3 linked regions of the Schizosaccharomyces pombe genome follow. The protein of the gene in region 3 interacts with the protein of the main gene of each other region in a biochemical or structural test. Each region holds a gene or a part of one and is shown on either strand. Other genes may lie near its edges. The genes, in order: nep1, ned8 and cul3.

Region 1 (9,956 bases), on a different chromosome or scaffold from region 3:
CTAGTATCTAGCAATACTCAATCTCTATCTACCAACTCAGCAATGACATCTTTATATCAAAACGCATCATCAGCAGATAATAATCTTGGCTCCTCTTTACCCAACGTTGTACCATTGAGTAGAGGATTAACACAGTCGAATGAAACGTCTAATACGTTTCCCGCTGCTTCATCTAATATATCTTCTCAGCTTCGTGAACTTCATACCAAAATTGATGAATTACGAGAAACGGTTTCTAACTTTCGTGCTGATTACAATAGTATACGTACATCTTTAAATCAGTTAGAAGCTGCAAGTGGTATTAATGAAAGGATACAAACTACTTCTGCTGATTCACTATTAAATTCCAATGGTATGAGTGGGACTGAAGGATTTGAGAATACGCAGACTTCCATTACAACGAACGACAATCAATCATCGATCTTAACCAGTTCAGATCAAACATCCCCATTTGCAACTGATGAAGATCGACAAAACTCACGAAATGTACAATTAGAAACTGTGGATGAAAATTTTTGAAATTTACTATCAAACTTTTTTGATAATAATGAACGACCTAAAAATAAAGAAGTGATAAGTCATTTACTAATAAATAAATAATTTCTCTTGTATAAACATTTTTCAATCAATAATTAAGCAAACGATTATTGCACTCGTGATAATAATAACATATTTGTAAACAGCAAAAGATTTAGCGACTGCTGATAAAAATTACACAACCATTCACATCACAAGATAGGATAAAACTCAGATTGTTTGAGTTGAAACAAGCCTTCCCGCTAGTTTGTATATTCGAAACTAAACAACGCAAGTGTAGCATCAAAAAGGGAAATCACCAGATACAAGTTCTTCCGGAGGAGTGAGAAAAGGATTATCAGTGCTATTATGAAATTTCGGTAACTCCCCCTTCGCTATATGACTGTTCATATGGACAGAAGGTAATGGCGTAGGCTCAATTTTGTCAATCGCAGATTTGTCAAGTTTCTCATCAGAGAGTAATGGCAAATGATCTTCTTTGTTGTTAGAAGGTGAAGGAACACGATCTTGTTTTTTTTCAGAAGGTGAAGGCACATGATCTTGTATCTTTTCAGAAGGTGAAGGCACATGATTCTGTTTCTTCTCAGCAGGAGAGGAAGGGTCATCGTCATGACTGTGATGATGATGGTGGTGATGATGGTGATGATGATGGCCTTCATGATGCAGGTCCTTATCGCTTTCATGGTTATTATGGTGATTAGTAGATCCTGACTCTGAAGACTTCTTCAAATTAGAGTTAGAGCTTTCATGTGATGTTTCAGATGAGTCGGATGATTTAGGTAGAACCGGGAGGGCAACATCGAGAAGAGGAAGGTGAGATTCTAAGTCAAAAAACACAGTGCCAGTAGGAAAGTCCTCGTCAAAATCGCCGCTTACCCTTGTCCCCAAGGAGTTAATTATATGGTCTAAGCAACGGCTCAACTGCTCCCGAATAGCTGTTACATCTGGCTGAAATGTAGACAAATTCCACATAGAGCTAGTGGGCATCGGTGAATGTAACAAACGCCGAACCAGTTCAAGGGTAAAAGCACAAACGTGTGCTCCACAATCATATCCATTTCTTTGTTGTTGTACGGGCATACACTCTATTGTAAATTTTTTTTTGAAAAGATCCGAAACACGGGCCAAGGCACTGCGACAATCTTTTGTCTTTCCGTTGCTGAGAGAATCATAATAGTAACATTGCCCATCAGGAATACTTGCGACCATTAAAGACCAGTGTGAACCTCCACTTCCTGCCGCATGTTTATCCAAATCATTGATAGGCATAAATAAATATTTGCAGTTCATTAACTTTTTAGGCAAAGCAACTTTGAGCTCTTCAGGAGAAATAGCAGCTTCTGCTAGTAGAAAAACTAACGAAGGGCGAAGCAGCAAAATTTCATTAGCTTGATTTGGGTATGAGGGAAACCATAGGTGCTCAATTAACTCGTCAACATAATCAATACTCACATCAGTGAACCTAGCTTGTATTAATTGAAAGATTCATTTCAGATGCACAAAGTAAAAGTAAAACATGTATCCAAATTTCCTTACCAGTTTGGCTTTTTTAAGCTATCCACGTCTTCCTGCTTAAAACACACATCAAATACTTAATAGCACAAGTTAGTTTTTATTCAGCAAACTTAAACGCTTCTAGACAGAGATTTCACAATATATGTGTAAACTTACATTCAAGAACGGTTGGAGAACTGCTCATTTAAAAATTGTTTAAAAGTAAGTACGAAATGGGGAAAAAAAGGAATTTAAACAAACAATAGGTCCGCAAACAAAACAGCTCGAACGGAAGAGTAACACGAGTGTTAAAATAAAATGTTTATTTTATCGGGTTAAAACAAACAAAAAAATCACGAGAATTGAAAGCGGAACCAGAGACCGGGAATACAGCGTTCCTATACCAAACAGAAGTAAGGCTCAATAAACAAACAGGATTGGACGGCTTAATTAAAATAAAAAAAAACAACTGCAGAGTAGGCGGCAGAAATAAACAAATTGCAACGTGAAGAGAAAGGAACAAATGGAACAGGGATAGCGGAGTAAGCTAAGGACTTTGATCATAGCGGACCTTTACAACAGCCTTAACTTAAACAAGGAACCAAAGCACAATATACCGTAAGCGTTGTAAGCATCGTAAAGTAGAATACCGAATACAAAAGTAGCATGCAATTTCCAAATTCCAAAAACCTTATTGCAAGTCAGATAATCCGAATGTAATAAATGAGAATTTCATGAAACGGCATGTTTTGAGATAAAAACATTAAATAAGAGACAAAGGAGAAATAGCATATACAAGTACAAAATTTAAAGGCCACTTGAAAATTCAGAAACTAGTCGTATCCACATTGACACAGCAGAATGAAATATATATATATACAGACAAAAGGCACCAAGGTAACTTTTCCAAGTTTTAAATAATCAGATTAAATATTTTCAACAGAAAATAAAGATAAATAGATGGAAGCAAAAAAAAATTTGGAGGACCAAACACAGTAGTAAATTTAACCAATTGAGTGAGAAGAGAGTAACCTTCGATCCATTATGGGCCGACGTGGCTGTTCATCTTGTTGATTTTGTTGCGGAGTATGGGAAATGGGAGATTCAATAGAGCATGAAACATCGGTAGGGTTGTAATTCTGCCCATTTTGCCGATACCATGAAAGTAGAAGATCACCGTATGCTTGAAGGTCCTCCAAAGATATAAAAAGATTGAAATCATTAAACACAAAAAAAGATAACTCCAGATGATTTAATTCGTGCAAGGGAATACCACCAACTTTTGCATAGCGACTGTTAGTATAGAAGACATCGCTGAAAAATTTGCTTGCGGCCGTAAACCCAGCGATTAAGAAACGATGAATATTAAAGCTGTTGATAAAGACAGTGAAATGAAAATGATGAACAATTCTGTCAAGGTAAATCAAAACACTTAAAAATACATCGTTAGTTGCAGGACAGTACTTTAAGATTCGTGTTAGATAAGCCTGAATAGATATGGAAGGCACATTTTTTGCAGAAAATATCAAACAAGGGTTCTTTAAACTTGTTGGAGATAATGGTATTTGATCTGATTCAGTAGCTTCCTGCTTGCTATCGTTCAAACGCGTTAGACGCGAGAGAAACACAGATATCATTTCCAAGAGCTTTTCTTGATTAAAAGAAGAAAGCTCCAAGTGTTCTTCATCTTCATCTGTGTTATCTTTTGAGGTTAAAAGCGTAAACGCCAAGGACATAGGACTATTATAAAAATGTTTGGTAAATGGACGAATACGTCTTTACTGTCTGTGACGCCAATCCTAGACTTTAAGTTATTGCGAAATCTTGCGTGTTCTTGTCAACCGGAATACAACGTTGCGTGCACTTATTTAGATCGCTAATTTTTTATGAAGCACTAGTGAAATGTAACAAACTCGACTGTAAACATTGCAGATTAAATCACGAGCGTTTCTTCATAGTACTTTTTCTTGATTCAAGTAGATAGATGAATGTAAAAGGATTAATAAATTAACTTTTTATATCTCAATTTAAAATCCGTATTATTCGCAAGAATCAGTTTAGTTGATTCAAAATCGATTAATTTTTAAAAAAAAGAGTTATGATTCAAATATACAGGAAGCAATACAGTTTTACTAGGAGTCCAGAGCTATTGTTACGAAAATTCTAAGGCTAAATGGGATTTAAATCAAAGTATATAATCGGGTTGGCCTGCGCACCAAGTAGATAATATTTACAAAGACTGTAGTAATATAGCGTTTATATTGAAAGACGGCTGTAATCTGCCAAAAAAAAGAAATCAAAGAAAAAAAGCAAAAGCATTACGATAGTGATTTTCATCTATGTAAAAAGTCAAGTCCTAAAAGCAACGAGATTGGAATTTAAAACGAAAAAGTTTAATGGTTTTAGCTGAGTTTTGTCGTTTTTCTCTAACTATTTAGGGATAAGGGAAGAGAGGATTCAAAAATTTCTTAATAATCCAAATGTATAAATGATGAGATATATAAATCCAAAGTATTAAACTTCGTTTTCATTTTAATTTTACTTTTTCGTTTCCTTCATAAAACTGCTGAAGATACTAATTCTCAAAATTTTGAGTTTACAATAACAAGGTTAGTCACTTTAGTTTATATTAATGATAAACAACAAATATTCATACTTTTTCCAGTGTATAATCATAATAAATCCCCATTTTGGCCAACATGAACAAAAAAAAGTCAGTATGATTCAACCAGATGGGCTGGAAGAGATAACTTGAATAGTAAGATCCTGTAAAGGCTACTCAAATCAATGTTTAGTATGTTGTCTTTCAAATTAGAAGAAAAATTGCTATCATCGTAGGCTATGCATATCCCGTTTATGCCAATTTCTACAGTCAGATTACATTCAAACAATTAACTTTAACACAGTTTACATCATCTGAAATAACAATTCATTTTGGTAGTATAATTTGAGATACAATCACTAATAGGAAAAATTATGGAGGATGGAAGTATTAAGCCTTTATTTTTGAATAATCACTCATTTCAGAAACATGCAACCAGTCCTATAAAATACCTTATTTTTGCAATCAAATTCTTTAAATAACTCGATCAAATTTAACCGTATCCGAAGACATGGCTTTACCAACGCTTGTTGTTCAATTAATGTAAAAAGTGAGACTTGGGTCTAGATATTTTACCATATATGGAGTGCACACAGTATGAGCTAGATTTGGCGTGCAATATATCTCCATTTGTTTGATAATAACAAAAATCACTCTTCCTTCATCTTCAAAAGACTGTTAAATAGCCAAGTACCAACTTATTCGGGTTTTCCACCAGGAATCAACTAGATAGTTAGTGTACAAAAATTCCTTTATTATTTTCATTGACATACCATGCACATCCCATTTCCGTTCAAAAGCATTTCAGAGTGTTTTTCGGTAACGCCGGTAACAGTATCACTTCATAGAAATTAGCAAAGATAATTAAAGTTATTATATTTCATACTATTCTGTAACATCTTTTAGAACAATATTCACATAATCATCGAATCCAACAAGTGTCCCCGCAAATTCGCGTTCACTTTTCATGATCACCCATAAGTTTGATCCAATGCATTTATCAATTAATTCTGCTTGTTAGCATGAACAGATTTACCCAGGGCATAAATCAATAATTTTTCCCTTTTCTTATTATGAAACTAATTTAGAATGTACTAATAAATCTACATACCTAAAGGTAAAATTGTCATCGACATGGTGGAGGTGGATTGCAAGTTCACATAAATTGCTACTATACAAGAACCATGCTATCATTTTACCTGAACACATAGTGTTAAGGGAATATCATTTATTGGAATCTTGAAGATTTTATAAATAAGAGGTTATCGTTTCATTAAAACTGTGGACATCTTATTCGGTCTTATTTTTTGGTCTTGTCGTTTGTCAAAATTACACAGTTGTCGAATAGCGATCCATTTCTTTGAATGAATCCAAGCTAAAGCTGTCTAGTTATAACTTACCCCAAGTATTTATTGCTACGATCAGGAATTAGTTATCCACATATTTTAGCCACAAAGTTCGTTAAATAATTAAGGTTTCCGTACCTGGTTCTCATATTCTAAATATTTGCTATTGCTATTTCTTAGTACGGAAAGTATAAGAGTTGGTTTTTTGCCTTCACTTACTTATAACGTTCACTACTTAGCAAGTGAACTTTACAAGCAATATTCCGCATGGATGCAAATCAGAAGTTATTAGATTTTGCGAAGCTTTTAAATCAAAAGAATGATTCTCGTCCTGTAATTGAAAAATTGAAGGATAATATAAGTGGTGATTTATTGAATTACTTCCTCAATCTTCTAGAGGAAATCTCAAAGTTGGATACAGACCAACCCTTAAGTGTTACCTCTCTACGATGTTTGCAGCTTTTTGTTCATCTTACATTTTTGCTTGGTGTTTATACTCAACTCCCCAAAGAAATGCTATCGCAAGCGAAAATTAAGGCATTACCTATTTATACCCCCAAAAAAAATCTGGTCCAAATTTACAATATTTTACTTCCTTTATTGTTAACTCCAAGTTTATTACAAGGTCCACTTAACCTTCACTATGCCGACTTATTGTTGCTTCATTTATATTTGTTGAACTGCCATGAACAAGGTTCTCTCATTGAAGAACCCAGGCCTTTATTTTTAGACCCTTCATGGAAAGAAAAAGTAACGAGCATAATGTCTCCACAAATGGTTGATCCATCTAAAATGATTTCTTCTTGTTTATCGCTATTACAACCGAATGTAGATAACTGGTTGCAAGATAAATTGAAACATTATTTAACTACCTGTCTTTGTAGAGAAACTGGCGTGCAAGGATTTCTCAAAGTTTATATGCAAGCACAGCCAAATTCAATCGAACGCGCACGACAGGCCGCTCATCTGATTTCATCTGTTCCAAAGGATATCTCACCACAGAAATATTTTTCGTGTATTCTTCCTCAGGTTTGGAGCCTTTTCAGCACTCAACCTCGATTAGCGTCACAACTCATAATTGCTGTAACAAATACACATTGTGATATTGTTACCTCTTTTCTTCTTAAAAAGCTCCAAATACTCGAAGCACCGAAAGTCATCGATTTATCCCCATTTGAAAATGCATTGGACGTTCTTCAAGTATTAGTCTACATTCAAAACGATGATATAATTCGCATATGTGAATCTTGTGTACCAAGTCTTTTGCACTTACAGGAGAACACAACTTTACGTTCTAAAGTTCAGGATATCTTGCTTCGTATTATATCAGTCTGTGGTACCAAATCGCTGTTAAGGAATTTAACAAATGCAAAACATCTTCGTATATTTTGCGAGAGACTGACAAAATCACAATTAGCAATGTTCCTGCCTAACTTGTTAGAAATATGGGTCCAGCAGCCACCAGACAAGCGTTTGGAATTACTCGAACTTGTTCAATATGCCCTGTCTAATGTTGATTCAGATGAAATTCCTAGTAATGTAATGCTGTCTGTCTGCACTAATCTGATCAATGAAGTGGCTAGTCAAAATAAGTATTCCTCTACAGAAATATCCCAGATTACTACTAACCGAGAAGTTGAAGAAGAGAACGAAGAGATTCTTCTTGTTTTGCTTAACATTATATCTTCAGTTATCGGGAGAAACGCTGAACTAGATTTGGAAAACCCTATTTCTTCATTACTTCCTGCACTAGAACAGCTCTCTAATTATAGTAACCGAGAAATTTCTGACCTTGCAAAGGACGTTTACAAAACTCTTATACAATCTAAAGATGACTATTCGTTAGCACTGTCATATACTCAAAGTGACTTGGTGCCAGTGAGAGGACAAGGAGTTTATATGTTAAGGAAGCTAATAGAGAAGAAAGATGATCGTATTAATCCAGTTCGTGTTTTGCACGTTTTAATAAACTTGTTACGTGATGAAAATAGCTACGTGCATTTGAATGTCATATCTGCAGTGGTTTCTCTGTGTGATAAGTATGATGATTCATTGATTCGTTTACTTAAAGAGTATACGAACACAAATAAATTTACCGTAGATGAAACACTTTTGATCGGCCAAGCTATTTATCAGACTATGGAAAGGCAAGGTGAATTGGTAGCAAAATTCTATGGCCAAATTGAGCAAACATGTTTAAGTATGCTTAATAACGAAAATACTGATATAAAAATTTCTTCCTTGAATATTGCTAGACTTTTGTGCCAAATGACCTCAAGTGATGCTTTCATCGAATCTGCAAAAAATATTTTGATTTTAGAAATGGGAAGTGACAAGCAATTTCTTCGACGAGCAGCAGTGCAGCTTCTTGATTCTTGTAAGCATCTTCCTGATTCTGTCATAACGACACTATCTTATGTTGGTTCACACGATAAGGATGATTTTATTAAAGAAAGCTGCTTGAACATTTTGGCTAATCAGGCCGATGCAGCGAAATACTATTTACAATAGCGTTTGTAATTAATATATGTTTATTATTAACAGACACGATTTAATCAACAAAAATCTGGTTTCGTTAAAATTAGACTGTTAAAATGGCCTAAAAACATTATTATTCGTGAAGCAACATGCAAAATTTAGTGATGATTTATCTACACTTAAATTGTTAAAAAAAAATTCTAAGCTTAATTAATGTCATTTCATCATTGATAATAAGAATAAATTCTTAAAAATATACTTGCAAAAGCCCTGACGAAAAAAGCAGGAAAAATACATTGAAAATTCAGTCGCCGAATCAACCGATGTTAAATATATCCACTTGCCTCTAGTTTTCTAAGTCTTTCCTTTAGCTTTTTAAGTCTTCGCTCCATATAATCAGTAGCAATTTTTATTTTACCATGTTCAAGATTCGGATCACTATTTTCATAAACGAAATCCCTATCGCGTTCGACGCTGTCCAACCTAGAAGTAATCCACAATTTAAAAGCTGTGTCGTCCATTGGAATGTGGTCAAAATCTAAGTCCCTGGATGAATCTGAACGAGAAGATGTTGAGGGAAGCTCAGCATGCAATATTTGTTGCATGTACCACCATTGCAATACAAGCATACTAAACATAACCACCAGAAGTAAGTGTGTAGGATGCATTAGCCAGGTAATTATGGTAAAGGGAAAGGTATACAATTTTGTGAGAAAAGATGATGATTGCTCGATTGAAGAATTGTCTACTTTTTCAGGAGCAACAGACGTTTCAGACGCATGCTTATTCTTTTTCTTGGTATGTTTAGTTATTTTCTTCCTCCTTCCCTTAGGAGAGACCTTATAGTTCTCAAAAGCAGTCAGAAGATCTTTAACGTAAGATGCTTGTCCCTCTTGGGCGCCCTTCTCTATTGGACCTTTAAGCCACGAACTTTTGCTCCATTCCACTGAATAGCTTATATTTAATTTCGTTTTTGAAGAATGAGCCCAGCTAAGTGCATATAAGGTCTTTACGACAAATGAAGTACCACTGGGAACATCAGGTGTTGAGGTAGTAGATAAAATTTCAATATAATTGTTTATGTCAAGGTGTTGTATTGTGTCGGTAATGTAGCAACTAGTTTGTCGGTAAGGGGGGGCAACGGGTTTGATGTATTGTACCTTACGATTCCATTTATCATCAATTTTTTCCCATTTTCCAATTTTAATTTCTGTAAGTTTTTCTGATTTAAAAAAGTTAATTATCCATGTGGTATCAGAGCCGCATAGTAAATTAAATACGGTGGACACTGAAAGGTTAACAACATCAGAACATAATACATGCGCTAATGGCGATCCTGTCCACTCTGTTGGAGGGTGTGAAGTCACCTCGGAAACAGATAGTAGTGAAGTGTCTGCCCCATCTTCATTCATCTTTTTAACAGAGTTACCGTCAGATAACACGACGTTGTCTGAATGGGAAGAGCCTTCACCTTTTGGTGATTCATCAGAAACATTGGA
Region 2 (10,250 bases), on a different chromosome or scaffold from region 3:
CTTCGGAATCATCAGCTTTACCGCCAGCCAAAACTTCAATTTCAGAATCGGAAGCAGCACTCTCAAGAACCTTCTTCAGTTTGTTAAAGCTTGCTTGATGGATAACAGGGCCCACAAAATTAGCAAAATCAGTTAAAGGAGCACCGACCTTAAGAGACTTGACCTGTTTGGTAAGCTCATCACGGAAACCATTTTCCCAAGCATACTTAGAAACGTAAAGACGAGAAAGGGCAGAGCACTTTTGGCCTTGATATTCGAAAGCAGCACGAACAGCATTAACAACGGCACTCTTAATTTCAGCGGAAGAATGTACAAGATGAAAGTTCTTACCACCAGTCTCACCGACGATTTTGGGGTAAGTGCGGTATTTTCCGTTGGCAACATTCTCGCCAATTGTTCCCCAAAGGCTACGAAAGACGGCTGTGCTACCAGTAAAATGAAGACCAGCAAACTCAGGGTGGTTGAAACAAACCTTGGAGACTTCAACAGCGTCACCAGGGATAAATTGAAGTGCTCCAGCGGGAAGACCAGCTTCACGGAAGATTTGGTAAACAATGTAGCTAGAAAGGACTGCATGGTCAGAAGGCTTCATTAAAACGACGTTGCCCATGAGAAGGGGGGCAGCAGCCAAGTTACCAGCAATAGCTGTAAAGTTGAAAGGAGTAATGGCATAAACGAAACCTTCCAAAGGACGATATTCCATACGGTTCCAGACACCAGGAGTGTTTTCGGGAGGTTGGCTGGCATATAATTCACTAGCATACTTGGTATTGAAGCGAAGGAAGTCAATGATCTCCATTCCAGCGTCAATTTCAGCTTGCCAGATGTTCTTACCCTGGCCAATCATTGTAGCAGCCATGAGCTTGTAACGGTACTTGGTGCTTATCAAATGAGCAGCCTTCAAGAAAATGGCAGAACGGTCAGCAAAAGGTAAGGATTCCCAGACCTTCTTTCCACGAAGTGCTGCCTCAATGGCATCTTCAACGTGCTTGGCACCAGCACGGTGATAGCGAGCAACGACCTTTTTGTGCTCAAAAGGACAACGCTGCTCACCAATGGTATTCGTTTCAACTTCCTTACCATCAATGATGACAGGGATAGTGACAGGTAATTCAGCCTCTAACTCCTTGTAGGCCTTGACGATTCCCTCTCTGTCAGCACTATTGGGACCATAGTGTTTAGGAGGCTCGTTCTTAATGGCAGGTAATTTGAACTCAGCAAATTGTGACATTTTACTTAAAAATGAAATAAATCTAATAAGTATTAATATCGCATAAATAAAACGTAGAAAACCTAAAGATAGAAAGCAATGAAAAGACGCGTAGGGGTCTCACTCAAAACAGTTATTACATAGATATAAATACTTACTAGTTTCAATCCAAACGTTTAAAGAGCGTTAGAAATCGTTTCCTTTCTAATCGCCTGTATTGAGGTATTGGTGTTCTGGAAATATCCTGACAGAGATTTGCCTCTTATATATATACTCCTATATATTCTTATAAACAGGTAGTGTCGATGTGATCGCACTCCGTGGAATTTGCAATTTTGCTTAAAAAATCAGCTAAAATATTGATTATGAGACTTATAGAAGTGAACCCTGAACTTGTTGGTCTTTGGTCGTATTATTTGATTTATTTCAAAGGGAAGTGTTTTAACTGCTTTTAATCACACTCGGACATCTTCACATTATCTTACCGAACTATTAAATAGATAGCCTGAAGGCTTGGAATTGTATTTCGCTTAAATTGTAATCTAGCGCAAATCTTTATGATTGTTAATATTAAACTCTTGCTTCGTACTATTGAATCAGCTAGCTCTTTGCAGGGATTACTTCAAACTTAGTTTTGCATCCGATCCTCAGATTGTGTATCTGATTTAATTTATGAGTTCAAACTATAGTTGCAGAAAACCGAATTACAAAAAGAAGTAGGAAGGAAACATGACACTTTTTTAATGTTTATAAAATAGTAAGATATCAATAAAGCGGAACGAGTTTTTGTCTGATACTACAAAACAAATTTTATCGAAATGATGATTTCAGCATTTTGCATTGATATAATTTTTGGACAAAAAAGCTTTTTTCCAATGTTCACAAGTAGAAATGGTATCTATTTGAACGATAAGTTAAATTCTTGACATTAGATTACTCTCATAGCATAAAAAAATATTGTAGGATTTGACAAATTTAAAGAAAGTTTCCCAAGAGTACTTGATGCAGTGAATCTTTGTCAAGTTTATATCGTTCACCTGAAGAACGAACAATAATTTCACATATTCCTTCCTCTTGAAATCTTGATCCTACAACTATTACAAATGGATATCCAATCAACTCAGCATCTCTCATTTTATATCCAAAAGCTCTATTTTGTCTGTCCTCCAACAGCACATTATCAAAGCCTACAACGTTAGCCGTGGCATCGTAAACCGTTTCAGCGCTCTGAATATGATTATCAGAAGTAGGAACAACTAGTACTTTCCAAGGAGCTATCGACGATGGCCACACTAAACCCTTTGCATCTTTGGTTACATGAGCGACTGCAGCTATAAGTCTTGAAACACCGATTCCATAACATCCCATATGAAGGACTTCCTGTTTGTTTTTTACTTCTACCGTTGCATTAAATTTGGAGGAATAAATTTTTCCAAGATAGAAGGCATGTCCTACTTCAATCGCGGTAGTTGAAGTTAGCTGATCATTGCAATTAGGGCATGAAATATCACTGGATGTTTTAGACAAATCAAGCATTTCGGAATTTGTTGAATAATGACAAGACGGACATGTATAGATTACATCTTCTCCCACAGGGTGTCGATAATGAAATTCGTGTGATAAGTTTCCTCCAATATTACCCGTAGCAGCTTTCACCATCACGAATGGCAATCCCACTTCTTTGAAAAAAGTATGATATGCTTGCAAAACATCCTCGTAAGTTTTCATAGCGGATGCTTTGTCGATATCAAAAGTATAAAGATCCTTCATCATGAACTCTCTACCGCGAAGAAGACCACCTCGCGGACGTAATTCATCCCGAAACTTTCGACCTATCTGGTAAACACGTATCGGTAATTGCTTTTGAGAATCTATGATTGTAGCCATAGTGCGAGTAACATCTTCCTCATGGGTAGGAGCAAGGCACATTTCTCTGTCATTTCGGTCATGAAGACGAAAAAGTTCACTTCCAGTCTTTTGCCATCTTCCACTTTTCTCCCATATCTCCTTACTAGAAAGATGTGCCAAACTGATCGCTGAAGCACCCAAAGAACGCATTGATATGTGCAACAAGTCACATATTTTATTTTGTACACGCAACCCCAGAGGTAAATATTGAAAAATTCCAGGCATAGACGGCTGGATAAACCCCATATCTATAAGTAACTGATTCGCTGATTCCGGGACATTGTATTTACGTATCGCTTTCCCTAGCACTTCAATCGATGCACGATTCCTTAAATGTTGTAGCATTTTTTAAACATGGTGTTTTTATACAAAAGCATATAAAAAATTTCAGAATCGCAAAATAAATGATCCAATAGAAGTAGTTTGTCAATAGTAATCGAAATAGGCGCTGGGTTCGTCCAAATAAATAACTGAGTTGACCTCCTTATTGCAATAAGGCTAGCAAAAAGTTAGGAATAGCCTACAGCACCCCGGATTCCCATGTTGTCTCCAACCATAGTACTAACGAGGCCCTCAGACGCTTAACTGCAGTGATCAGACGGGAACTGGTGTTTTCGCCTAGGTATGGCCGTAGACAGCACTATAAGTAATTAGTAAAATATATATATGATATCCTTAACCAGATTTTAGTAAAAAAAATTTGGAATTAATTGTGGAAATGTAATCTAAATTTATTGAATGTATCTACTGCTTCAGTTGCTTAAAGTATTTTACTTCTTAAATATCAAATTGATCGCAGAATTATGTGTAGATAAACGCTTAATTGCATTTTTCACAAATTTGTTAAGTAATCGTTGTAAATGTAAAGTAAATATACAAATGCAGTAATTCAAAAATAAATGCTGATGAATAAGAACTTAATATTTGCTGAACAACTCCAATTAATCTTCCAAGTTCTCAAATATTTAAAAATACTAAAAGACTTTCCTATATTTCCAAAACCCCGTTTTTTTTTCCATTCCCTAAAAATACATTGCTACATACTAAATCCAAAGGATGCTTGATTTTTTCTTTTTTTGCTTTTTTTCAACTGTCGGTAATCCTCTTCTAATTCAGATAAAGCATCCGATTCCTCATCTATTAAGTCATCGTTTTCCGTTTCTTGTGCTCCAGCTTTTGATACTATTTCTTGTTTCAGGTTATTAGAAGCTTCGTTTTTCTGTGCCTTCAAAAATTCTTTCTTGGATTTCCTTTTTTCACGTCGGGTGTTACGCTTCTCCTTTACTTCCTTTTGTTTGGACCAAGCTTCGTTCTTAATTTTTGCTGGCCGAGCTAATTTTTTGGGTTCAGTTTTTTCGACTTCCAATCGGCGTCGTCTGGCCTGCTCGCGTACTTGATCACGGTATGGTATGGTTGCATAATCAATGTCAAATTTTTTAAAAATATTTTCGGATATTTCGGTGTCTTTTAACTCTGGCATTTTTGGAAGATGTAATAAAGCGTATGCCGTGGCCAACTGTCCCAAATCCAAATCTTTGATACGAAAAATAAACGACGCATGATGTTTTGTGTACGCACGAACATGTGAAACAAACGCTCTTAATCCCTTATCATATAGATCTCTGTCTTTGGATACGATTTTTCTCAATTCGTGGGTTAATACTTTAAGTCGTGAAAGATCTAAAGCTTCAATTGGAGTGTCTATACGAGTAATAGGTACCTTCCTAACCCTTAACAATTCCTCATATTCTTCTTCTCTTCCATCATTTAACAAAACTATTGCAACACCCGCTCGACCAGCGCGACCAGCTCTGCCGCATCTATGAGAAAAAGATTTCGGATCCAAAGGCGGGTCGAGCTGAAGAACAAAGTCAACATTTGGAATATCAAGACCCCGGGAAGCAATGTCAGTTGTAAAAAGAACTGTTTTTTTATTTGATTTCTTAAATTTTTCAAAATTACGTGATCGATTCGACTGAACTTGCTGTCCATGCAAAGCTACTATTTCAAACGGTAATTTATAAGTGAGAAAAAGGGAGTTAAAATATTCAACAGAAGCACAAGAAGAAAAAAAAACAATTGCTTTTTCGTATTCGATCGTACAAAGCAAATGTATCATACATTGTACTTTGTATATGGGAGGAATCACTAAAGATTGTATAGCTAGACTTGACGGTGTTCTTGTATCAATTTTTTTTGATGTAACTGTCACAGAAACACGTACGCTATTTCGAAGGCCAGCAATTTTTAAAAATGATGACACAGTGTCATTCATTGTTGCGCTAAACAACCCAGTTCGACGTTGTTTCGGAAGTTGAGATATAATGGATTGTAATGTACGCTGAAATCCCATGTCAATAAGGGTATCAGCTTCGTCTAATATTAGTATTTCCAAATGCTTACTGGATATATGAGAAAGCATTTCATTCAATCGACCGGGTGTACCAATCACCACTGAGGGGTTTTTTTCCCGAAATGAAGCTAAATCATTCGTGAGCGTTCCCTTTCCCCCAATATACATATCTGCAACGAGTTTTTTCCCTCCATCCAAAGAGTCTGGTTGGTACGCCAAAAGCTCTTTGGTAACATTGAATATCTGTGTAGCTAATTCACGAGTAGGTGCAACAATTAATGCACCCAAACCTGTTTCGTCCGTATCTCTACGAGTGACTTTATCGAAGCAAGGAAGTAAATAGGCCAAAGTCTTGCCTGAACCCGTTACTGCTTCAACTACCAGATCTTTATTTTTCAAAAATAATGGTATGGCATTAGCCTGAACGGGTGTCATTTTTTTAAATCCTTGAGCAGCTACGGCGTTCTTTCTAGTTTATGTTAGTGCTTGTAAATTGTTGATTTGACAAAATCCTGGTATCATTTAGATAATAAAAATTTTTGAACAGGTTAAACATGTAGCAGAACCTAAAATTTTTATTTTAGAATTGAAAACTTACAGCCATTTATCTATATTAATACTCTGAAAACTCATTGTCCCCTCTTTGAAGACCAATTCAATTTTTCGCGAGGTGAGCCAGAGGGGAATGCTTATAGGGAGAGAGAGGAACTGCTAGCGTTTAACCACAACAATTTCAGAAAAGCGTTTATAAAAGTTAGCATGCTTATCAAAGTAAAAGTAAGATAAATTTATTTCTTTTTTATGTATACTAATATATAATCATAGACATTGACAGGGAAAGAGGTTCGTGTTTTAAATGTTGAAAACATTTATATGCAGTTATAATTCATCTATGTTTCTAACCAAAATATAAGATCGAATTAGACATTGATCCAAATGACAAGGTTTCTAGGATCAAAGAACGGGTTGAAGAAAAAGAGGGTATCCCTCCTTCACAGCAGCGTCTGATCTACGCTGGAAAGCAAATGTAAGCACTATGGGAACATCCATACAATGATTCTAACAAACATCACGTAGGGCTGATGATAAAAATGCTGAAAGTTATCATTTAGAAGGAGGCAGCGTCTTGCATCTTGTGTTAGCTCTTCGTGGAGGAAGTTGCTAGTTGTTGCATACTTTATTTATAAAGAAAAATTATGTATAAAAAATCATACTTTTATTTAACGCTATAAACGAAATCTTTTTACTGTTTTACTAATACTAAGAGTAACGAAATGAGAATTGAGTCGCTTTATTATTGCTCTGTTTCATTTTATGTGAATCTATTGATTTGTATAAAAATATTGCTTAAGCTTTTCTAAACTTAAGACGTTTTGGTGATCATGAATTTCAGCGATAAGATTGATTACTTCTTGTTAATTTATGAGTAAAGTAGTCGTAAAGAGACGTTTTGCACAGAAAAGTCAATATATAACAACAATTGCTTGCGCATTCCCATCTGATATCAAAGTATATAAAGCAGTAGCATGCGAAGCAAAACTTCCTCAGTACAACATCGAATGTAATTACCATAAACGCAAAATCTCTAGTAAGACTAAAAGAAAATGTTGTTTAAATAAAACTAACTGCAAAATGCTATGTAGCAAAAACATGGGCTGTTGTGGGAATCGAACCCACGACCACCATCACCCTAAGATGGTATCATACCACTAGACCAAACGGCCACATTGATAGGGGTGCCACTTAAACATATATAAAGGAAATATACATGTAAATCTATATAAATTACATTTTTAAGGAGGAAAGTATAATCAATATGCTTATAAATTGCCATTTCAATGTATTGATTCTCATTTTTCTATTTAAGAAGTTTTAAATTTTTTTTGTTTATGAGAAAGTGACATCGGCTTTAAGGAACTGCTCTATTTAAAAGCAAGAGAGATTCATTTAATTATAAATAGTCTGCATAAAGCCAAATTACTATTATAAAAATTAAAAAAAAATGATATTCTTTCTTAATTTCAAATTAATTCTGATAACCGGATTTTCGAAGTTTTATGTAATCTTAAGATTGAAGTACTAGTTTTTATAATCGTGAGTACAAAAAATCCATCCAAAAATCTTTGGGCTGTATATTTAAGAACAAATTAAAGTAACTTTAGTTTAATCAACAAAGGTAAGGATTTATAAACTTCATTAGGTGTTTTTTAAAGTTATTAAAAAAAAAAAAAAAAAAAAAAAAATCTCTCAAATTGTTCGGCTACAGATTTTTTGAAAGCTTCTATTTTCCAATAAGGATTCTAATAAAATATAATAAAGAGGGAAAAATGATGCTAAATTATAATTTTTTTTATTGGTTTCCCAAATTTTTAATCTTTTTTTATTGAATTAATGTTGTAATAATTTAAAAAATATTGTATTAAAGAGTAATGTTTATGATCGCAACTAAGCACTTTTCTCCGCCTGGCGGTAGTTCTAGCTTACTAAGTGCTATAATTTCACCTATTTAAATTTTTGATTAAAACCGTCAACCAAAATTATAATTCAAATGCGTGGATTTATTGCAAACTCTTTAAAGCCGCATATGAGATCTTTTGCTCTGCGCAGAAGTTTTACTAGCTCTCGTATTTTGAGAAAGGTGAACGCAGTTGAATCGTTTGGCGATTACAATACTCGAATTAGGTATGTATAGTCAATAATATATCATAGTAAAAAATAAAAGATAAAACTTTTTCGAATAGATCTCCTTGCTAATTGCTACTAGTGCTGACAAAGTTACCGTCGTTGATTTCTATGCAGACTGGTGCGGTCCTTGCAAATACCTCAAACCGTTTCTTGAAAAATTAAGCGAACAAAATCAGAAAGCATCTTTTATTGCTGTTAATGCAGATAAATTTTCTGATATTGCTCAAAAGAACGGTGTTTATGCCTTGCCTACCATGGTATTGTTTCGTAAGGGTCAAGAATTGGACAGAATCGTCGGCGCTGATGTGAAAACTTTATCTTCTTTGTTGGCAAAATATCAAGAATAGAATATGGGATATTGGTGTCCCCATTCGTAAATTGCTTGATTTACTTTCTCGATTCAATTTGTTGATTGCACTGTATTATGTCAAAACTAGGTTTTAAAAACTTGACACGGCTTATTTTATTTAAGATTTAAGATTTAAGGGTTTTTACTTTATGAATTTCATTATATAATTGCCGGACCAAATTTGCTGAAATCAAAAATATCCTTTCAGAAATACCTAATAGGGGAATGTTCAACTCAATTAACACAGGAAGCTACAAGAATGAGCTATTTTATAACAACGTGAGTATTTCTATGAGGTGATTAAGGAATAATTTTTGAGGTTCATAGATAAAGCATTAATATATCCTTTACGTTTGTGACATAACCATTCGATTTTGGATATTATTACACAGATACTGCTCTATTTATTCATTTAGACATAACACCATGAACGAGAATGCGTATATAATACACGGTTTTAAACCAGACAACAAAACATAATTTCAGGCATTAATCAGCAATAAAGAAAAATCTAATTATAGTTTTCGTTTTTAACAAAATTTGAGGCTCTAAATGTATAGTGTATTCAAGAAGTTATTCAATATCCTCAAAATAATAAATAGAAATTATGCGTTGAACACATAATATAACTTTGAAGGCATCAGTACTCTTTATTAAATCCAAAAGCTTAGGAATTGTATTTTCATCATTGCAACAACTTATTAATAAAGCGGCATACGCAAGTTGATGAGGATGTGCCATTAAACATAAACTGCTGGCATATGAATCGTTAACAATGCTCCTATTTCCTCGATCGTTAGAAAAATCTAATCGACTGTGATTTTCAATATAAGAAGTATACATACCAAGCAAACTCAAGCTGCTTTTGATTGATAATGCCATCATGAAATGCTTGCTCAAGAGAAGTGTAGGGATGGTGAACAATGAGAAATGCATCAAGGACTGAAATGATTTCAAATTCTATTTCGGAAATATTAGAACGACTAAGTTTAACTTTTAGGCTCCAGAGATCATTAGCCTCATTGCAAATTGTGCGAATGTGAACAGGGCATTCTTCCACTTTGCATGATAAATAAATGCATGTAGCCACTAGCGCCTCCAAAGAAAAACCCTTTTCCTCATTTTTTTTTAGCATGTAACGCCTTAATAAAACGATGGCTGTAGCTAAGACACGCTGCCGAAGCCTGAGCCTGTCTCCAAACGTTTGTACAACTAGAATTGTATCAGCAAAACGAAGTGTAAATGAAATCACAAGCTAGAATAAGCCGAAAAAAATTAATGAAAATATACCTTTCCATTGATATATTGTATCTTTAGATAAGCAAGTTGGTTCCAAAGATTCCAAATCTGTGGATAAGAATAATTGTGTTCTGTAAGGTCAGCTTGAAAAAGTATACTAAGGAATAATAAAGGTTCGAAGATATTTTAAACAAAAACTAACAAAGAGGCTAAAATCGCTTTAAATTAAAGTCAACGAAACGAATGAGAAGCCGAAATAAACTGTGATTGCAAGACATTTGCGCAAAATGACTCAAACAAGATACATCCAGTTTAGTCGATACTCGTGACTAGAAGTAGACAGAAAAGCTATTCCTCTGATCAGTAATTAGACGTAGATCAGCTCACTCGCAAGCCTCAATTTGTCAAGAATATGTTCAGCAGTAATAAAATAGAAAAGCAGATATTCAAAACTCAATTAAGACATTTTAAAGAAGAATAGGAATGAATTAAAGGCCAATTACCTT
Region 3 (12,731 bases):
AGCTTTGTATCTTAGCTTAAAGTAAGAGATTGTAATCAACCTTTGGCAACCTTGCGGATACTTAAAAGTGTTTGGTGGTTAAAAGGAAGTGTGGTACGCGGAACCAATTAAATGAAATTGGCGAACAAGTGGGGTTCGTTAAGATATTTGAGGTTATTTATACAATTTCCTAAACAAATAGAATTAAGCGGAGAATATACAGAATAGCATTGAACGGTAGATATTTTTAGGGGTTCTTCCGAGATTGCTAAAGAGGATAGCGTAGTCCGTTAGGAAAGAAGAATATTCTTAATGTAAACAACCAGGTGTTTCAATACTAAATCAAATACATAGCTTTATTATTTGATTAACACCTTAAAGATTATAAGGAGCTTTACTTGCTCTGGTATTTTCGATGTTATTAGTAGAGTCATCATCAAAAGCATACTGTGTAGGATAGTGTATTTACGGCGAATTCGCTTCCTCCCATAATAATTTTTTAGGTTAACACTTCCCATCTATCGTTGATCAAATACCTTAATCTATTTTAAACTGAGGGTTTTTCTGTTTTGGTCTTTTTGTACAATGTATATGGAACAATGTAATTTAAACTCATTACTCTACTATCTGCTCGCAGAATTAATGTATCAAATTTTGATTGATTTGGAATATAATCTACCTGTTTTCAAACCTTCTTATAGCATTACTTAAAATTTTCTTTTTTTCAAAAATAAAAAGGAAGTTGGTGTAAAATTCATGAGTGTCATTATAATCACAAAGCTTTTGCTAGATATCATCTTGAACAAATTGGTATCTTTCCATTTAAACATGATTTCTCGTATACGAATATTGCATTTCGTGTAACAGTTAAGGCTGCTATGCTAAATATTCATAAATGCGACCATTATCGGCTTGTCTTTGTAGGTACTCCCGCTCTATTAAAGCTTCAATTCGTCGCTTAATCATCATCGGACTAGGGTGGAAACGAGGGTTTAACTGTCTTGTAACCTCTGCCATCAGCTGATTGTGTTCGCACACTTTGCGATCCCTTAATTTACTGTTAGTAAAAATGTTTGAAAAAAAAAAAAAAGGAAAAAGACATACTTCATCACTCTAACAATACAGGCATCTGCTTGATGCTTCCTTGACTCGTCTACCTTCTCTAATGTACGTTTTCTCTCACTATCATCCTCAACACGAGTCTGAGCAACTGTCGATATTTTAATCCGGGCGAGATTTGAAACAAAGTTCTCATTGAAATAAAACTTGTCACCTGCATTCACCTCCCTTCCTTTTGGATCCTTTAGCAAAATCTTGTATTTTGCACAAGCAAGGGACTGAAGATTGCGCTTCAAATCCCCAACTTCTATATTGGTTTTTTCCAAAATCTCCTCAAAAATTAAACACTGATTTTCTTTTAGGTCTTGGAAAAGCAATAGAATAACAGATGCAATAGTCGATACATTCAAGTCATATTTTCTGTCTTTGAAATTAACACGGACATCAGCACTTCCCTAAATAGGATTGTTAGTGTGACGCAACAAGCAAATAAAAGTTTACTATACCATAGAAGGATACCACAATAATTTTCTCCCCGTATGTTTCGATAAATAAAAATCCGTAAATTGATCTATCTGAGCCAGGAGAACTTTCGGAAAGTTACATTTAATTTTGTGAGGCGATAAATCGATGGGCCAAAATGTAGAAGCCAAAATTGAAACGTTTAAGTCCAAAGCAGGCTAACTGTTAGTATAAAGGATTATCAATAAAAATTTCCACTAACCTTGGCCGACTGTAACGCAGAATTATGTTTGTACTCCTGTAACAATTCTTGTGAAAGATTCATATCTAAGCATTAATAAGGGAACGCAAAAAAACTTGCTAAAGTCTGAATACTTACCATTAAACATTCCTTCGAGCTTTTGAGTAAAAACATTACCAGCTTCTTGTTTCAGCCTACTGATCATTCCGAGCTCTGCATCGGAAGATATTGATCGATTATTCAACAACCTAAAAGTGTTAAAGACAGTAAAAACAATTAAAGCATACCTTTTTGCAAGGTGTGTTTTGTAATATTTTTCAAAAACATCTTTTTCTGAAATAAACCGAAATAACGTAACAGAATTTTGAAGTGTTGCTTCAATAGAGCCTTCTATTGCTTTTCTAGCATCTTTTTTCAGATTGTCATCAATGAATAGTGAAATGTACTCGGGGGCTCGGGTATATCCGTCTACGAACGTAACAAAAGCATCTGATAAAGAGTTCAAGATAGACCGATCAGCATCCATAGTAGTACTTATAATTGTATTTAGTCTATCCCATAAGGCCAAAACTTTTTGAACCCATAATGTTGCCATTGTAGCATTAGATGATAGACGACCAACAGCCATCTTTCCTTCAAGCGCTTGGCTAGTAGTTTCATTGATTAATTTTCCATGATGCGCTACATATTTCGCCAAGTATTTTTTTAAAGACTTCACGCCAAGTTCCACTCTAGAAAAGCTTTCGTAAACCAATTGAAGACCCTCGAAGTTTGAAGAGTCGATCATCGAGAAAAAGCCAGTTGATTGATTTTCAAGCAAATCGTCCAAATGTTTACTCAAAAGCTCATCTTCAACAACGGATAGAAGGGGGCTAGCTATTTTTGTGAACAGGTAATTCTTGGACCTCTCCTTTTCTTCCTCAAATCTTTTCTCTGCTTTTTTCAGATACTCCACAACTCCAAATACGCCGATGACTGTTGATGATTCTATTTCATAGAAATTTCTTGTGTAAGATAAAAACTTTGGAGCAAATAAAACATCATAAAGAGTTTCCTTTTTGTTTTCTGAAGGCAAAGAGTTTAGCATATCTAAGCAGTCATTTATTAAGGGTCGATTTATTGTATTCCCTTTACGTTCAAGATAAACCAGAATTAGAATAGTTTCGACACATTTCTCTCCAATTTCAAAACTATTTAACAAAACAACTTCACGAAAGATATATATTCCGTTTTCATTAACAGGAACTTTGTCTGCAGATTTTGAATAAACCTTGTCCAAATATTTTAATACACTAGATATCATTTGCATTGAAACAATGTGATCCTTCCAGGAATTAACTAAAGACGATAAAAATCTATGAGCCGCTTCCAATGATCTCGACCATGAAGTAGAATAGGAATCATTTTTTCTAATATCCAATAGAGCATTCCCTAATAAGGAAGCGTCATAGTTTTTGTAAATAGCTGGAACAGTTTCTTCTTTAAGCCTCGATCTAATAACATCCTGTACATGATTATAAAGCTTTTCTCCATACTTATGTAGAACAAGTATATATGCATTTCTATACAACTCTTCAAACGATAATTGAGATGTGCTTTTCTGAAATATATCCCCAATAGCTCGCTGCAAGACTTCCCAATGTGTAGCAAAGTCTACTTGGTTAGCAGAAAACTAAATGTCAGTATGTGAGGAAAATAATAAGGACAGCATGCATCAGGTACACTTACTTTTCGTGGCGCTCGAATTTTTAACTTCGCTGACCGCTGCATTAATAATGGAATTTAAAGTTAAGTTTCAACAAAAAAGCTAAATATATGGGCATATGAGTTTGCATAAAGAAACGCCAGCACAGACGGAAGTAATGGTACAAAAGGTGGTAGAAGGTACTAACTACGAACAACATTCTCCGAACACAAAAATTTTTCAAACATAATGTGGAGCTTTGCACGGTATACTCAAAAATTCTGTTTACGAAATTTGCAGTTAAAAAATTTTTCAAACAAGGTAAAGGTTTCAAGTTTACTTTTCTGTTCCCCGAATGTGAGAAACATTTCTAATTGGCAATGCAAACGCTTCACTCAAAGCGATGCTAAAGATCTTGCAAGTGGTGTTCCCTCTGTAAAATCAGATGCTGATCAATTACAACCTAAACCGACTTATAATGTTTCTTTTACTTGTACCGTGTAAGTATTTATAATTTCATTGAAGGATACTAACCAAATGAAAGATGTAACACTAGGTCAAATCACAATTTCTCCAAGCAGGCCTACCATAATGGGACCGTTTTAGTTCAATGTCCTAAGTGCAAAAATCGGCACTTGATGGCTGATCATTTAAAAATATTCTCTGAAGAACGGGTGACGATTGAAGACATTTTAGCTAAGAAAGGGGAAACTTTTAAAAAAGGCTATGGTCAAGTAATCAATGGCAATGTTGTAGAATTTAAGCCCCCTCAATTTAAAATTCGACCAGCAAAATCATCTTCTTCCAATTCTTCCAAATGAACTAGGAGAGCGATCAAATTGGGTTTAGGAGCATATAAATTGCAAGATATAGTCATTGTTTATTTTAATTTCTATAGTATATATTATTTTTATTTATTTTTGTAATACTTTGGTCAATATATACGACGTTCTAATAGAACATTTAATTATTATATGAGCTTGTTAACTTGAAATTATCTTTTGAATTTTTAGACTAGATGTGATAATTTAGCAATCATTGAGCAAATCATATCCAAAAAAAAATAAATTAATTAATTAATTATAAAAATTAACGATTTTAGAGATCTAAATGGGCTATACAGAATTATTGCAAACGAATGTAAAACATTTTTCAATATATAAGTTGCTAATTTACCAAAATCAAAATTTAGTCTTTAAAGATGCTTAATTAATATTTCTATTTTAATAGCGCGTTTTGTATAGTGCTGACTATTTTATTCATTCCAATAAACAATACAAACTGAATTTATTATTTTTAAAAATATAATTGATTTCATCATACTCTCTCTACCTTACTCTTAAAATTATTTACGGACTATGAAGCTGACACAAAGTGTAAATTACGCAGTGTCTTGCATTTTGCTAGTGAACACCACTAGGTTTGTTTACTCTATGATATTTTGAGAACCGACCATCTTCTTTGCTGTTGGTAGGAGACTTCTAGGATGTTACGTTTATTTCGATTTGATGTTCTTGAGACTTCGACCAAAGATACTGAAAGACCCAATTCTAAAAGTTCACGGTTAAGTTCGACTTCTGGTTCAAGTCATCCATCTTCATCTTCACGTTTGACCGTTCGAAGCGCAGTTCCGGAAAAGAGCGCTTTTGGTTCCATAGAATTTATTTTTTACTTTTCTGTCATTCTATCGATTCTAACAATTGCTTGTTTTAAAATTCATTATGTTAGTTCTCGTAAGTGTCAAAAGCTTTAATCAGCCTTTTCTATTTATCAATTTGAAATAAAGTAAGCAACTAACTAGGCGTCAGCAAAACATCCCAATTACAAAAACATTGAAAAATATTTAAAGCCTGGGTGGTTGTTTGGACAAAAAGTCGATTCCGCTGATTTTCAGTATTCCGCGTTTCGTGAAAATATGCCAATCTTACTACTTGTAATTATTGTCTATAATTTTCTCTGGAGACTCGTTAAGCTTGTCTTCACAAAAAATACTAATGATGAACTCGCTATAAAAAACAACTATCGACTTTGCTTCTCCCTGCTGTTTGCATTACTTGTCTACGGGACTGGCGTTATATATGTTTTAACAATTGCATTGATCAATTATCTCATTTCTAAGTCTCTAAAGAACAGTATTTTTAATCCACTCTTGACATGGACATTAGATATATCAGTGGTGTTTTTTAAAGAATATTTTGCCTATTGCAAATTTTCTAGCCTTCATCCAGGCCTAGGGTTTTTGGTACGCTATCTTTAGCCATCAGATGTTAATCTTTTTACAGGATCAATATACTGGGATTCTTGAGCGCTGGTATGTTCTTTTTAACATTACCATGCTTCGGCTCGTGTCATTTAATATGGATTATTACTGGTCCTTAAAGCACAACTCTGAAAAACTTAACGTAAGTTTGAGCACATGCCTTTTGAGTTTATAAATAATAACCATTAGACTCTAATATTTGACAAAGATCGTGAGCCAACAACATTGACGTTTCGTGAAAGGGTTGATTATTCTTGTCTTGATGAAGATTATAATCTTAAGAATTTTTTGACATACATTTTTTATGCCCCTTTATATTTAGCGGGCCCTATCATTTCGTTCAACAATTTTATGTCCCAGGTAAATTGTTTAATTAAATTTTCTGCTAATATTTAGATGAAATATCCCACAGTTTCAACGCTAAAATACAGGAACCTTCTTTATGCAATTCGATTTTTAGTATGTGTTCTCACCATGGAGTTTTTACTTCACTATGCATACGTTACTGCTATTTCTAAGGACGGAAATTGGAATCAATACAGTGCGGTTGAATCCGCAATGATAAGCTTTATCGTTCTATTTATGACTTGGCTAAAATTGCTTATACCGTGGCGATTATTTAGATTATGGTCATTAATTGATGATATCGAACCTCCCGAAAACATAGTTCGATGCATGTGTAACAACTATTCAGCTGTTGGATTTTGGCGAGCATGGCACCGTAGTTTCAATCGATGGTTGATTAGGTATATTTACGTTCCTTTAGGAGGAAGTAATCATTCAATCTTGAACTTATTTATTATATTCACCTTTGTCGCTCTTTGGCATGACATCAGTTGGGAATTATTTGCGTGGGGTTGGTTAATTGTACTATTTATTCTTCCAGAACGATTATGCTGCTTTATGTCGCGTAGAACTGGTCTTACTAAGCACCCTTACTATAGATACATCTCTGGATTTGGGGCTGCTCTAAATATTTACTTTATGATCATTTGCAACTTGATTGGATTCGCAGTTGGAATTGATGGAATTAAAAATGTTCTTGTCTCATTTTTTCTGACCCTCAAAGGTAAGAAATTTATCTATTTTCGGATTTGTATAACTAATTATTATAGGTGCAATGTCCGCGATAGCAGCATTTATAATGTTCTTCTCTGCTGTACAAATCATGTTTCAAATTCGCGTAAATGAAGAAGAAGAAGGAATTAACTTGCGTTGCTGAATATTAGTATTAAAAAAAAAATACGTGGATCATTACTAATTTTTTTATTTCGTACTTTTTTAATACTTGTTTGTTGTAATAATCATCAGTAATTATTTGGAAAATTACCTGTTCAATTTTGTGAGGTTCTTACTGTGGGATTGAGTATTAGTAACAATAGCACATACCGCGTTTTTAAAATAATGGTTCTGGTATAATTTACAAAAAGAATGAATAATTACTAAATTTACTTGTGACTTTTTTAAAAGTCCATCCAAATAATTGTTTACAGTTTTATCGTAAATAAATACTCAGAAGCACATATTGCAAGTCACAGACTTCTAACTCACTATACCCCAGATATATGCTAGCGTAGCTTAGCCTTATTCCTAGCCTTGCCAACTAACCAACAAGTGCAATAGTTTCTATGCAGTCATATTGAATTTATACCCGTATTTTATGAGCGTATTATGAACACTATAATTGGTACGATTTTAATATGATCTTACATTAACTTTTAGACGCTTCGAATGATGCTAAATATCGAAAATACCAAGACGCCATACGAAAATGCATAGCTTTATTCCAAACTGTAGAACAATGGCCCGATTATATCTCCTTTTTAACAAAGCTGCACAAGGTAAGTGATTTCACTTATATTTATACACAGACTAATATCAAGGTTTTGCAAACTCACTCTTCGTTTGTTAATATTCCGTGTAGTTTATTAGTTTCACGAGCTTTGGCCGAGTGTCTCTCTCCCGGACTTCCTTCTGGTGTTCACAAAAAAACGTTGGAAGTCTACGACTACATTTTCACAATAATCGGAAGCAAGACTCTCACAAATGAATTATCTACATGGTCCTATGGTTTAACTCCGTTTTTTTCTATTTCTTCAATTAAAACTAAACATGATTATATCAATATAATCAAAAAGCATTACGTTTCCCTAGGTGTTGGGATACGCCCGTGTTTTCAAGCTGTGTTTATTTCTCTTCTATCTGGCTTAGAGGAAGATGTCGATGAATCTTCTCAGGAAGTTTACCATCTATTAGATGACTTGGTGAAAGTTTTAAATGATGAAAAATTTGCCTGGGGTTGTATTTGGTCTACTATTCTCAGTTTTCCCAGTCAACGGCCGGGTGCTTTAGCCTATCTGCTCCGTGTATGTAATAATTTAGCTGAAGAAGACATACAAACACGAGTAATTCAACCTGATTCTGGGTTGGTTGTTCGAAGTTTTGCAGCAGCTATCAGCGACAATGATATCCTTGTACAAAGAGGATACATGGATGCACTCCTTAATTACTTTCCCATACAGTCAACTTTCTATAAAGATGTTAAGCCTTTCGATTTAAAGCTCCTCCATATGTCTGTTGCTTCTATAGTTTTAAGGAACGATCTATCTCTAAATAGGAGATTTTATGCTTGGTTGATGGGTTTGTCTAAGGATACAGAATTGTCGATATCTGATTCTTCAATTACTGTTGATGAAAATACATTACAGCAAAATATGGCGATATTTTTTGAAGGTGTAAAAGATCTTCTGTCATCCAAGAATAGCTTAATGTCTTTTTATAAAGCTTTTCGTATTCTATATGCTTTATCTGATCGACGTCCTTTATTTACAATTGTCGAAAGCCAGATACTACCCTGTGTATTGCATTCTTACGAAACTCTCACGAATGTTTTTCATAGAGATGATTCAAAGCATTTATATGAATCTGCCGTAGATCACGGACGACGCTTAATAATGAAGTTTAGCGATTCCGAATTACACACTTTTTTGTTTCATTGTGTCAATAAAATAGTTGCGAATACTACGGAAAATAGCGATTCTGCGGAAGCCGTAAAGTTTATCCTGGACAGTCAGAACTTCTTCTTTGAGTCTATAAATACTGAATATTCATTCATAATTTTCACAAACTTACTTATGCATCTTGAAAAAACGTCTCCCAACTCTGATGTTGATGGGGTTTCTATGACTATTTTGACTATTTGCAAAATTTTATTGAATAACTTCGACTGGAATTTTTTTAATTATAATAATTCTGCTATTGACAGTTATGCGAAATGCACGTTAAACTTAGACTCGGACTTTGAAAATGGCATATTAACTTATGAGATTTTGTATAAAAAATGCAAATGTTCGTTATTGTCACTGTTAAAGCAATACATAAAAGATTCTCATGTTCATCATGAAGTTTTATTAATATCTCTTAATCTTATCAAGGAAGCTTCAGACACCGAATTTGAAAATGAGTTTCTTGATCTATCCTTACAGGGATTTAAAGATAATTCGTGGAGTTTTCAAACCCTTGGTAGTTTTGTAAAGCAATTGCCATCAAGGATTTTGATTAACTCTACAGCTTGCGTCAATGTGATTTTGGATAGGGTAAGTACTTATGATATCCAACGTACTGACTATGTAGATTTGGTGTGAGCTATGTATGTTTTCTTATTTCAGAGAAGAGGAGCTTTTATCTGTTATTTGGACCCTCCAAGAGAAACTTCAAACTAGAATAATTGAATCGTACTTTTCAACGTGCATTGTGAAAGAGCAACTTGAGCTGAGAGCTCCAACGATATACTATACACCTTTCTATAATCTTTTAAAGAAGAGTGGTAAGTTTTTCTTGTTTTCTTTTCTTTTTTTACTGTTTTCTAACTTTCAAGCTCAACAATCTCTGTTTCATTTCGTTTTTGACAGGCCCCTATTACTTTTATTAAATTCATTATTAGAAGATGAGTCTGGGAGAGATTATACAGCAATGATGAATTGGATTAATGCATCAAGTTCTTTGCAATTACGTGTCTTGGAACTTATGACTGAAAATTTATTGAGTTTATCTCCCAATCTAACCAGTGTCAATTCTCTGGAAACGGCTATGACCAGATATAATATAAATGAGGACCAGAGAAATAGTGAAGCTAGTCGATGTGTATATTTTCTAAAACTTTGCACTCGTATAATTTCTTATTTTCAAGATCTTCATCCTAAAGAAGGAAGACTTAAGAGTGCGAAGCAGGTAGAGGAACTATGCCTGGTCACTTGGGCTGACGCCCTTTTGATTCAAAAAAAATCTTTAACTTACTCTTCATTTCTTGCTTTTTTAGTCAAACTGTGCTTAGATATAGTATTAACTCCTCAAAACATAAAAACGAGCACAGATGTGTATATTATTCAAACCTGGGCTTTGCGATTGCTTTACCAAATAACCTCCATATGGGAAAACCCTCTAAAATTTGAATCTAGTCTAATCGTTGGGTTGTTTGCGCTTGTACAGGAAGTTGAGCGTTCTCCTTCATCAACTTATCGAAGTTTTATTTTGAGTCTTTTGCAAATGCTAGAATTTTTACTCTCTCGATTAGATGGGACTATAGATCTTTCCTCTGAACAGCATTATCTGTTGTCCAATTTTGTTTTGGTTGGAATGTTGAATGATGATCCAGGACTTTCGCCAAAGTGGCTACATGCTATAAAGAAGCTTTTACCTCTTCTTTTACAAAACCTTCAACTTTTGATGGTTAATCCCATTCAATCTTTGTGCAAATTTGTTCATTCATTTCTTGACCAACACGAGTCTATGTACCTAAAATACCCTGACCCAGTAAAAGATTATGCGTGCATGGATGTTTTTATTGCTAAGTTGAAAATGCTTAGCGAGTTAGTTTCAGCAGCCTTATTGGAATTCACATATTCACCCGGCCCCAAGAAAAGTAATTTAGAAGCCAATGGTATCATCGGAAATGTCATTTCTGGTGTGTTTGCAGCGGAGTCGTCAGGCGTTAGCATCGATGTCAACAAGAGATTATCTATGCTTTTAACTATGCAGGATGCTTTGCAAACATTATTTTTATCATATTCATGGCATATTCGGTCTTCATATGCTGATAAAACGTCAAAAGTATTTATGAATGATTCATCGGTTTTAAAAGAAGCATCCTTATCGGGATTAAAAGAGTTTTACTTCTGTGAACCTCTTGAATGCGTAGAAACGCTGGTACAAATCTATTTGGAGAACAATGTTGAGTGTTGCCAGTGTATATGGGATATATTTTCATTTCTTAGTGATTCTGAACCTCAGTACATTGTTAAGCAATTAGTTTCTTCTTTTTTTGCACGTGAAGGAATAGCTAGTTATGCAGGGCCTTCTAGTTTGACAGCAAAGATTACACAACTCGATATTTTATGCTGTATGTCTGACTTCGTCTCCAGAGTGGAGGGCGAAAACACATCTAAGATTTTTACGGAAATTTCAAAATTTGTTCGGGAGATTATTTCTTCCTCAAACAGCTTTAAAAACTATTTGCTGGTATGTTTACGAATGCTACTGGAAGTTGCAAAAAACGTGAACACTTATTGCGAATCTCGCCAGCAAAAAGACTTTATTGATTTGATGGGGAAAACATTGTCCTCAGTCTTATTTCATGCAGGAAAATCAAGTGATCCAAACCTAACTGTAGATTTTCTGGCGTATCATAAAGCTGCTGCAGACACGTTTGAGGTTGCCAAAACACAAAAGAAAACTAGCTCCGTGTATTTATTCGTAAAATACTTAGATCCCTCTTTGCTTGACTTTTTCTGTTCTGAGTTTGTTCCAAAAATAACCGAGCTTTCTAAGGAAGAAGATAAACTAGTTGCTTGGGCTACATCAATCGTCAATGTATTTATAACTCCTTTAGTAAAGGCTAGGACATTTCCGGAATCACTCACCACTTATCATTTGGACTTATTGCTCGTGTTGAGTAAACATCCGTTTTTGAGTAAATCATGGAGGCGCGATTTTTGGGAAATTTTTAATGATAATTCACTGTTCAGGTTCGATATTGATCAATTAAGAAAGCTTTCTCCAGTAATATACACAGCTTTGTACCAAGAGATATCTAGATTAAATGATCTCATAACAAAATCTGATTTAGGCGTTACTACTTTATTTACATCTCGGGATACTCAACTAGGTGCAAGGCAGAGCAACATATGTCGGATCACAATATTAATGTTATCTTCTCCACGTGATTTTTTCCTGCCTAGTCTTCCACCTCTGATTGACCTTGTCAAACGGCTTATAACGTCTGATCCTGAAGGAGTATTAAAAAAGGACCTGTTTTTATTTATTAGAGCTCTAGCTTTAAGGACCTCTTCGAAGCATTTGCTTCCATTATGGCCAATCGTTGTTAGCGAATTGTTGATCATTTTTAAATCTTACTGTATGCCAAATGTTGCCATTTCTAAAGAGACATTATTAGACGCATGCAGGCTTTTGGATTTTTTAACTGCACTCAAACTTGAAGAATTTGCGCTACATGAATGGGTTGTGATGCTTAGTCCACTAGATGCTGTCTATTGGAGCGGAAAAACTAGCCGTAAATCCCTCGTACAAAAGGTTTCTGAGCGACTTCAGGAGCAAGCATCGGAGAAGGACGACAAATCCAGTGTTGAATCCGAACATTCTATTCTTACTTCAACTACAAGAACCCCTTCTTTAGGCATTTACACAACGGACGCTCAATTAAGAAACTTTTTAAATCGCATTTCTATAGACGCTTATGAAGAAAGCTACTCGTTTTCAACAATCGACATACAATCTTTTGAAAATTCTATTTACAGGGAAGTTCTTCAAAGGTTTTCTAATGCTCCCCTATCTCCCTTTTCTTCAATTAAGGCTCCATCAAGCCTGGCTGGCTCCAGTAATTAATTCATAGTATTTTATATCGATTAGGAAGTCTAGGCTGTGTGGCTTCTTATGTAACTTCCAGTTACTCTAACCTAATTATTTTTGTATGTATTTTCTTTTCAAGTTTCAATGTTTATATTCGGAAAATGGCTATAGGGTTTAGTTTG

Evidence for each region.
Region 1: the proteins of cul3 (region 3) and nep1 form a complex in vitro, tested with the Schizosaccharomyces pombe proteins (one study listed by BioGRID).
Region 2: of the proteins of cul3 (region 3) and ned8, one has a biochemical effect on the other in vitro, tested with the Schizosaccharomyces pombe proteins (one study listed by BioGRID).

What each region holds. Positions count from the first base shown.
Region 1 is NC_003423.3:3,297,117-3,307,072, reverse strand, and holds nep1 (NEDD8 protease Nep1), read right to left. Parts: upstream 2,539-9,956; 5' UTR 2,237-2,538; coding exon 2,209-2,236; intron 2,129-2,208; coding exon 2,074-2,128; intron 2,000-2,073; coding exon 820-1,999; 3' UTR 520-819; downstream 1-519. Other genes in the region: synviolin family ubiquitin-protein ligase Hrd1, read left to right, coding at 1-519; psl1 (pho85 family cyclin), read right to left, coding at 3,036-3,767; U6 snRNP-associated protein Lsm5, read right to left, coding at 5,332-5,358, 5,407-5,473, 5,520-5,643, 5,745-5,769; RNA polymerase II nuclear import protein Rtp1, read left to right, coding at 6,247-8,490; sterol transfer protein Ltc1, read right to left, coding at 8,784-9,956. UniProt on the Schizosaccharomyces pombe protein: Protease that catalyzes two essential functions in the NEDD8 pathway: processing of full-length NEDD8 to its mature form and deconjugation of NEDD8 from targeted proteins such as the pcu1, pcu2 and pcu4 cullins and other proteins.
Region 2 is NC_003423.3:2,316,237-2,326,486, reverse strand, and holds ned8 (ubiquitin-like protein modifier for cullin Ned8), read left to right. Parts: upstream 1-6,191; 5' UTR 6,192-6,230; coding exon 6,231-6,248; intron 6,249-6,296; coding exon 6,297-6,314; exon of another isoform or gene 6,315-6,385; coding exon 6,386-6,498; exon of another isoform or gene 6,499-6,548; coding exon 6,549-6,636; 3' UTR 6,637-6,729; downstream 6,730-10,250. Other genes in the region: put2 (delta-1-pyrroline-5-carboxylate dehydrogenase), read right to left, coding at 1-1,231; SPOM_SPBC24C6.03 (proline--tRNA (Pro) ligase), read right to left, coding at 2,186-3,463; ATP-dependent RNA helicase Spb4, read right to left, coding at 4,155-5,940, 6,070-6,104; thioredoxin Trx2, read left to right, coding at 8,020-8,153, 8,236-8,503; cyclin CycC-like Srb mediator subunit Srb11, read right to left, coding at 9,079-9,286, 9,351-9,717, 9,796-9,875.
Region 3 is NC_003424.3:485,105-497,835, forward strand, and holds cul3 (cullin 3), read right to left. Parts: upstream 3,611-12,731; 5' UTR 3,512-3,610; coding exon 3,470-3,511; intron 3,414-3,469; coding exon 2,029-3,413; intron 1,990-2,028; coding exon 1,880-1,989; exon of another isoform or gene 1,828-1,879; coding exon 1,763-1,827; exon of another isoform or gene 1,719-1,762; coding exon 1,545-1,718; exon of another isoform or gene 1,494-1,544; coding exon 1,084-1,493; exon of another isoform or gene 1,028-1,083; coding exon 856-1,027; 3' UTR 619-855; downstream 1-618. Other genes in the region: TIM23 translocase complex subunit Tim15, read left to right, coding at 3,675-3,925, 3,970-4,246; gup1 (MBOAT family O-acyltransferase), read left to right, coding at 4,912-5,158, 5,234-5,667, 5,708-5,827, 5,875-6,045, 6,082-6,754, 6,801-6,907; dop1 (family protein DOPEY), read left to right, coding at 7,357-7,372, 7,408-7,526, 7,569-9,281, 9,319-9,511, 9,563-12,585. UniProt on the Schizosaccharomyces pombe protein: Probable core component of multiple cullin-RING-based BC3B (BTB-CUL3-BTB) E3 ubiquitin-protein ligase complexes which mediate the ubiquitination and subsequent proteasomal degradation of target proteins.